2 linked regions of the Macaca fascicularis genome follow. The protein of the gene in region 1 purifies or fractionates together with the protein of each later gene. This does not show direct contact. Links are inferred from orthologs where the notes say so. Each region holds a gene or a part of one and is shown in the gene's direction. Other genes may lie near its edges.

Evidence for each region.
Region 2: the proteins of PTPN5 (region 1) and MAPK14 purify together in Homo sapiens (affinity purification with mass spectrometry; 3 studies listed by BioGRID and IntAct, with this or other methods). This does not show direct contact. The link is inferred for Macaca fascicularis from reciprocal best matches to the Homo sapiens genes PTPN5 and MAPK14.

Annotation. Positions count from the first base shown.
Region 1 is NC_088388.1:46,908,595-46,912,675, forward strand, and holds the start of PTPN5 (tyrosine-protein phosphatase non-receptor type 5), read left to right. Parts: upstream 1-1,261; 5' UTR 1,262-1,617; intron 1,618-4,081. UniProt on the Homo sapiens protein: May regulate the activity of several effector molecules involved in synaptic plasticity and neuronal cell survival, including MAPKs, Src family kinases and NMDA receptors.
Region 2 is NC_088378.1:135,562,090-135,566,379, reverse strand, and holds the end of MAPK14 (mitogen-activated protein kinase 14), read left to right. Parts: intron 1-347; coding exon 348-521; intron 522-1,286; coding exon 1,287-1,354; 3' UTR 1,355-3,667; downstream 3,668-4,290. UniProt on the Homo sapiens protein: Serine/threonine kinase which acts as an essential component of the MAP kinase signal transduction pathway.

The DNA of each region.
Region 1 (4,081 bases):
AGGTCCTGAGGCCACAGGGCTGCCATGCGGATGATGCATTAAAAAGGCCAATGTGACTGGAGCGTGGGAGAAGGGGAGGGCAGTAGAAAGAGAGTTTAAAGAGTTAAAAGGGAGCCAGCTCCTGAAGGGCCTTTGCAGGTCATGAGGGGCCTTTCCGGTAAAGGAACGACGTGCTCTTACTTAAATTTTAAAGGATCGCCGCTGGGACTGTTGTGTAGAGAATAGCTGCAGGGGGCCAAGGGTGGAAGCTGGGAGACCAGTAAAGACGCTATTATGGAAATCCCGGGGGGGTGGGGGATGATGGCTGGAACCAGTGTGGTAGCTATGTGGTGGCTCGCCTCTGATTCCCCGTGTAAAAAATGGAGTTTAGGATCCCTGCCCTGTGTGCAGCCCACAGCCTCAAGCCCCTATGGGGATGGAATGCCGGAAACCTCTGGCCAGCATGGTAACAGCCTGCAGAATACCGGAGATTGCGGGAGAATTGTGGGGCGCATGGGCAGCTCCCTGCGCGTCCGGGCCCCTGGTGCCCACGAGAAAACCGACAGATGCGTGCCCCTCGCCGCACGTCAGGGGGGCAAGACTCAGCGGAGGGAGGAGCTGTCCGCTCACTCTAGCTCCCCAGAGGCTGAACAGGGAGAACTGGGAAAAGGGGCGCCTCCTCAGCGTCCTAGAACTGGTACTCGTCACCCGGTATTGCGTGCGCCCTAGTATGCGGCCGCTCCACTTGCGCAGGTGTTGGTAACATGGGAGGAGCGCCACAGCATGCCCCCAGTGAGCCGACCCCCCCACCCCCCACCCCCCACCCCCCAATTCTGCCCCCTTTGTCTCGCTGGCCCCTACTCCCTCTGTCTGCCTGTCTGTCCCGTCCCAGGTTCAGCGCGCACGGCCCTGGCAGGGTCCCTCTGGCGGTTGCCGTAGCAGCGCGGCCCGACCCGGGGCTCCCAAGAGGAGAAAAATCATGAATGAAATGGATGCGATGCTCCCACTCCTCCGCCCTCCCTGTCCAGGCAACCTTGGCTTGAGGACAACGACTGCTGGGACTCCGCGCAGAGTTGCTCGGGAGAGGGAGGCACCTGAGATGAGGTCAGGGGTTAAGGGTCTGTGATCCGCCCCCTTCGTGCCCCGGGAGCAGCCCGATCTCCCGGTCCCCAGCCCCGCCAGCCCTGCGCAATTCCCGGGGAGCGGCGCCAGCCCGCCCGGGGGCGGGGCGGAGCGGAGCCAGGGCTGGGGGGTGCCAAACCCACCCGGCGGCTGCGCCTGCGACTCCGCAGCTGAAGCGCATTTGGTGAGGCTGTAGGGCGAGGGAGCGCGCACGGAGCGCGGGACGGAGCGCCGGGCGGACGGACCGAAGGACGGACGCCCCCGCACACGCAGACGCACAGAGCTCGGCGCGGCCCCCGTCGCGCACACACTGGCACAGACACAGGCAGGGACACACGCAGACACACGCACACTCGCGCGCGCACATCCTCCCGCCAGCCTGCCCGCCTGCCCGCCTGCCCGCCTGCCCGCCTGCCCGCCTGCCCGCCTGCTCGCCGGAGCCCGGAGCCCGCAGCCCGCAGCCCGCAGCCCGCAGCCCGCAGCCCGCAGCCCGCAGCCCGCAGCCCGCTCTGGCCGGTAAGTGCAGCGCCTCCGTCGGCGCCTTTGTGTGCGGAGCCGGAAGGTGCAGGGCGCGGGTCCCTCCTTGGGGTGGCCCCGCAATTGACACCTTCTCCAGTCCTCCGGGCCGAGGAGTCGGCGCCCGCCCCCGCCACGCCCCCGTGGGGCTCCGGGCGCCCCCATGCTGGGGGAGGGGTCCCCCAACGCAGAGGAGGGGGCTCGGCGCTTGGTAGCCGGGAGGGAGCGGCAGCCACTCCCCACGAAGCCCGTGCGCGGTTCCGGGGAGGAATCGGGATAGTGTTTTGGAGTGTGAGCCTCTACGGCCGGCGGAGGTTGGTGCGCGGCTCTGGGCTGCATTGCCTCTTCAGAGCCTGAAGCCCCTGAGGGAGGTTGGAAACCGCCGCTACCCTTCCGGTCTCTAAAGCGCGGCTCCCAGCCTTCCCAACGCATCGCCTCCACCGACCCTTTAGCTTTAGCCTCCAGCGTCCCACCCTCCCCCAGAATAAAAGCTTAGCGCGCTCCCCTCCCCCAGCATGCAGCTTGTTTCTGGATGAGGCCCAGGCTCCTGCAAAACCGGAGATTGCCCGTGTAAGAACCTTGGGAGGCTTACCTTATCCAGGATCACAGGGCTTTAGAAGATCCGGGCCAGACGAATCTTCGGAACTTAGTCAACCTCCTCATTTTACAGGTGGGGTAACTGAGGGCCCAGTAAGGTGGCTTGGCCAAGGTGACCGGAGAGTTAGTGGTAAAGCTTTCATTAGAATCTAGGGTCACAGGTTTTCATACTCATGTCCCCTCCTACACAACTAGATCCCACCCCCATTGAAGCCCCAGAACCCCAAAATTCACCTGAGTGTACCACGAAAGTGTGTAATTCCAGCCCTGCCTCACTTGGAGGGGCAGGTGCCATTCATTTGCTATCATCCCTACCTGCTGTACCAAAAAACGGGGGAGGGGGCTTTAATTTGCTTCCTTCAACCTCAAAGGAGAGCTCTCACGTCTCTTATGCAAACACTCAAACACTCCGAGTTTGGGATTCCGTTTGGGAGAATGAAGAAGCCCTGGACCTGAGATCAGATTCCCAGGCGTTAATCCTGATCCACCCAGGACACATTGAGCCTGAGTGTCCTCAGTTGGACCAGGTGATGTGGCATCCCAGGATTTGTCCTCTTCTCCACTGTGTCCTGACTGCGTGCCCTCCCAGTCACCCTTCCCTCCCCCTTGAGGGCCAAGTCTTCTACTCCAACCAGGCCCCTTTAGTCATCCCTTTGCGGAGGTCCCCACCTCTTTCTCCTTGGGGCTTGTTAAGGGCAGCCTCTTGGTGCTGCTGACAAAGCTGCTGGGGAAGCTTGAGTTACAATCACACCAGGCTCGGGTGCTTTCTCAGCACAAGGCTCCATCAAGGGCAGCCGGGTGTCCCCAGAGCTGAGCCTGAAGCCTGGTGCAGAGAGGGTGCCCCGAGAGGTGTGTTGAAGGAGTACAAGCACAGACGGATGGTGAAGGGATGGAGTCCGTCACCTTGGAGGAGACTCTGGATGGAAGAGTTGGCAAGGAGGCCAGTGTTCAGTCTCCAGGGACCTGAGGTTCTGGTCTCAAGAACTTCCTTTTTTAATTTTATTTCCATAGGTTTTGGGGGGACAGGTGGTGTTTGGTTTCATGAGTAAATTCTTTAATGGTGATTTGTGAGACTTTGGTGCACCCATCACCCACAGTATACACTGAACCCAATTTTTGTAGTCTTTTATCCCTCACCCGCCTCCCTCCTTTCCCCCAAGTCCCCAAAGTCCATTGTATCATTCTTATGCCTTTGCATCCTCATAGCTTAGCTCCCACTTATGAGTGAGAACATACAGTGTTTGGTTTTCCATTCCTGAGTTACTTCACTTAGAATCATAGTCTCTAGTTCCATCCAGAACTTTTTTGAGGGGTGAGCAGCTCATCATGGAGCTGAGCCAGGGTGGCCAAGTGGCAGAACTTCAGGGGCTGCCACTGACAATGTAGTCCATACAGATGGCATTGGCTATGAAGTTTACACAAACTTCATAATGAATTGTGGCCCCTGGGTTTTTGCCGTGTAGGGGTTTCTCCCTTCAGAGTGGAGAGATCTGGATTCCAGGCCCAGTTTCTTCCTCACTGGCTATACAATGTCAGTATATAACCCTTCTGGGTCTTAATTTCTCCATCCAAAAAATAACATCATTGGATTGATGATGTTATGAACTATTTGGCGGTGGGGTAGGGGGGAGCACGTATTTATATAACTGCTATGGGCTTCTTTTGCTCTATGAAGGAATAATTTCTGACTCAAGAATAATGTATGTAGAGTACTTAGTACAGTCCCTAGCACATACGAAATGCTCAAGAATTGGTAGCTAGTAATTCCACTAGGACCCCAGCTTTGTGGATATACCCTATACGTCTTCCTTTCTTCAGATCATCCAAGGACATGGGATTCTTAAGGCCTCAAAAGTCCTCCTCCCTC
Region 2 (4,290 bases), on another chromosome or scaffold:
TACAAAATACAGGAGGAGGGTGAGGGTTGAGAAATAACCTGTTGGGCACAATGTTCACTATTTGGTTATTGGGCACACTGGAAGCCCAGTCCCCATCCGTGAGACCCATGTGACAAATGTGCACGCGTACCCCCGAATCAAAAATAAAATAAAACATTTTAAACATACAAAATACAGATACACACACACACGTAAAGGAGAAAAGGGCCAGTATATCCTAGAGTAGGTATTTTTGGAGGAGAATTCCTTGTTTGGATATGAAGGGTCAAAACTATGTTTGCTTAATAAGGCATACTTTTTTGTAACATATTAAAAACTATTTTCCTTCCTGTCTATGGTACTGATAGCTGTCGACTTGCTGGAGAAGATGCTTGTATTGGACTCAGATAAGAGAATTACAGCAGCCCAAGCCCTTGCACATGCCTACTTTGCTCAGTACCACGATCCTGATGATGAACCAGTGGCCGATCCTTATGATCAGTCCTTTGAAAGCAGGGACCTCCTTATAGATGAGTGGAAAAGTAAGTCCTAAGGGTAGGATTAACATCTTGTACCACTAACCGAAAGCGGTGGGAAAATAAAAACTGAATGGTCATAACCAACTTGCTAAAGCTTGTAGTTGAGGTCTGTAATGCAGAATGAATATGTTCTCTGGTGGAAAGTGTTGTAGACAGTGATACTCTCTGGACCTTTGAGATACTTAACATCTGGTCTGATTTTATGCACAGCCCCTCACATATAGGAGCTTTGCATGGAGATTTGAGGTTTTCAGAGTTATTGCATTTACAACATCTCTCTGAGCTAAGTAAAGAATAGGATATTTTTACAGTTTTACAGTTAGTAGAACTGGGGCAAAGAGAATTTATGTCTTATCAGTTAACTTAGAACTAGTTAGGGACATAGCCAGGAATGGAACCCGTGTATCCTGTGTCCAGTCCCATATTCTTTCCATAAAACACAAGTTCAGAACTCCAGTTAAATCCAAAGAGCCAAGACCATCTGTTGCCGTAGCTTGTGAGAGTGCTCTTTCATTCTTGAGCACCTCCGTAGAGAACTTAAGAGGCATTCAGCAATGAAAAACATGAGGAAAAAAAAAGGTTCTTTTCTATGTCCCTCGAACTTCTGTGTGATAACGTGCTCCATTAGAATATTACATACCAGCTGTGAGGTAGCCCATCATACCACTACCTGGACAGGGAGGAAGGATCTTGAGTGAAGTCAGAGTGCTCGCCAGCAAAGAGAACAGCCTAAACTCTCACGTCTTACTTTTCCTTCCCGATGTCTAGGCCTGACCTATGATGAAGTCGTCAGCTTTGTGCCACCGCCCCTCGACCAAGAAGAGATGGAGTCCTGAGCACCTGGTTTCTGTTCTGTCGATCCCACTTCACTGTGAGGGGAAGGCCTTTTCATGGGAACTCTCCAAATATCATTCAAGTGCCTCTTGTTGCAGAGATTTCCTCCATGGTGGAAGGGGGTGTGTGTGCGCGTGTTAGTGTGTGTGCATGTGTGTGTCTGTCTTTGTGGGAAGGTAAGACAATATGAACAAACTATGATCACAGTGACTTTACATGAGGTTGTGGTGACTTTACATGAGGTTGTGGATGCTTCAGGGCAGCCTCCACCTTGCTCTTCTTTCTGAGAGTTGGCTCAGGCAGGCAAGCTGCTGTCTTTTTAGGAATATGTTCAATGCAAAGTAAAAAAATATGAATTGTCCCCAATCCTGGTCATGCTTTTGCCACTTTGGCTTCTCCTGTGACCCCCACCTTGACGGTGGGGCATAGACTTGACAACATCCCACAGTGGCACAAGAGAAGGCCCACACCTTCTGGTTGCTTCAGACCCAACGCTGTCCCTCAGTGATGCGTACAGCCAAAAAGGACCAACCGGCTTCTGTGCACTAGCCTGTGATTAACTTGCTTCGTATGGTTCTCAGATCTTGACAGGTGTATTTGAAACTGTAAATATGTTTGTGCCTTAAAAGGAGAGAAGAAAGTGTAGATAGTTAAAAGACTGCAGCTGCTGAAGTTCTGAGCTGGGCAAGTTGAGAGGGTTGTTGGACGGCTGCTTGTGGGCCCGGAGTAACCAGGTAGCCTTCAGAGGCGGTCATGTGTGCATGTGAGTGCATGCGTATATGTGCGTCTCTCTTTCTCCCTCACCCCCAGGTGTTGCCATTTCTCTGCTTACCCTTCACCTTTGGTGCAGAGGTTTCTTGAATATCTGCCCCAGTAGTCAGAAGCAGGTTCTTGATGTCATGTACTTCCTGTGTACTCTATTTCTAGCAGAGTGAGGATGTGTTTTGCATGTCTTGCTATTTGAGCATGCACAGCTGCTTGTCCTGCTCTCTTCAGGAGGCCCTGGTGTCAGGCAGGTTTGCCAGTGAAGACTTCTTGGGTAGTTTAGATCCCATGTCACCTCAGCTGATATTATGGCAAGTGACATCATCCTCTCTTCAGCCCCTAGTGCTATTCTGTGTTGAACACAATTGATACTTCAGGTGCTTTTGATGTGAAAATCATGAAAAGAGGAACAGATGGATGTACAGCATTTTCATTCATGCCATCTGTTTTCAACCAACTATTTTTGAGGAGTTATCATGGGAAAGATCAGGGCTTTTCCCAGGAATATCCCAAACTTCAGAAACAAGTTATTCTCTTCACTCCCAATAACTAATGCTAAGAAATGCTGAAAATCAAAGTAAAAAATTAAAGCCCATAAGGCCAGAAAACTGCTATCTTCCTCTAAATATGATTACTTTAAAATAAAAAAGTAACAAGGTGTCTTTTCCACTCCTCTATGGAAAAGGGTCTTCTTGGCAGCTTATCATTGACTTCTTGGTTTGGGGAGAAATAAATTTTGTTTCAGAATTTTGTATATTGCAGGAATCCTTTGAAAATGTGATTCCTTTTGATGGGGAGAAAGGGCAAATTATTTTAATATTTTGTATTTTCAACTTTATAAAGATAAAATATCCTCAGGGGTGGAGAAGAGTTGTTTTCATAATTTGCTGAATTTCAGGCATTTTGTTCTACATGAGGACTCGTATATTTAAGCCTTTTGTGTAATAAGAAAGTATAAAGTCACTTCCAGTGTTGGCTGTGTGACAGAATCTTGTATTTGGGCCAAGGTGTTTCCATTTCTCAATCAGTGCAGTGATAAACGTACTCCAGAGGGACCGGGTGGACCCCCGAGTCAACTGGAGCAAGAAGGAAGGAGACAGACTGATGTTGATTCCCTCTCAGCCGGGACTCTCCCCCTTTCAAGGAGAGTGAACGTAAAGGCCTCATCTCCTTTATTGCAGTTCAAATCCTCACCATCCACAGCAAGATGAATTTTGTCAGCCATGTTTTGGTTGTAAATGCTAGTGTGATTTCCTACAGAAATACTGCTCTGAATATTTTGTAATAAAGGTCTTTGCACATGTGACCACATACGTGTTAGGAGGCTGCATGCTCCGGAAGCCTGGACTCTTAAGCTGGAGCTCTCGGAAGAGCTCTTCGGTTTCTGAGCATAATGCTCCCATCTCCTGATTTCTCTGAACAGAAAACAAAAGAGAGAATGAGGGAAATTGCTATTTTATTTGTATCCATGAACTTGGCTGTAATCAGTTATGCCATATAGGATGTCAGACAATACCACTGGTTAAAATAAAGCCTATTTTTCAAATTCAGTGAGTTTCTCAAGTTTATTATATTTTCCTCTTGTTTTTATTTAATGCACAATATGGCATTATATCAATATCCTTTAAACTGTGACCTGGCATACTTGTCTGACAGATCTTAATATTACTCCTAACATTTAGAAAATGTTGATAAAGCTCCTTAGTTGTACATTTTTTGGTGAAGAGTATCCAGGTCTTTGCTGTGGATGGGTAAAGCAAGGAGCAAATGACAAGGTATTAAGCACTGGGGCCTGTCTTATCTACACGCGAAGGTAAGAGTGGCCGAAACGACAGGGCTCAGCAGACTGTGGCCTGAAGGTCAAATCTGGCCCACCACTCTTTTGGTGTAGTCTGCTAAGAATGGCTTTTACATTTTTAAATGGTTGGGAAAGAAAAACAAAAAGAAGTAGTAGTTTTTGTAGCAGGTAAAAAGTAATGTAAAACTTAAATTCCAGTATCCATAAATAAAGTTTTATGAGAACAGAACCATGTTCATCTGTTTATGTATTGTCTGTGGCTGCTTTTGTGCTACAGTGACAGAGGCAAATAGTTGCAGCAGAAACTATACGACCTCCAAAATGTCAACCACTTACCATCTGGCCCTTTAGAGAAGTCTGCTGACCCTTGGCCCA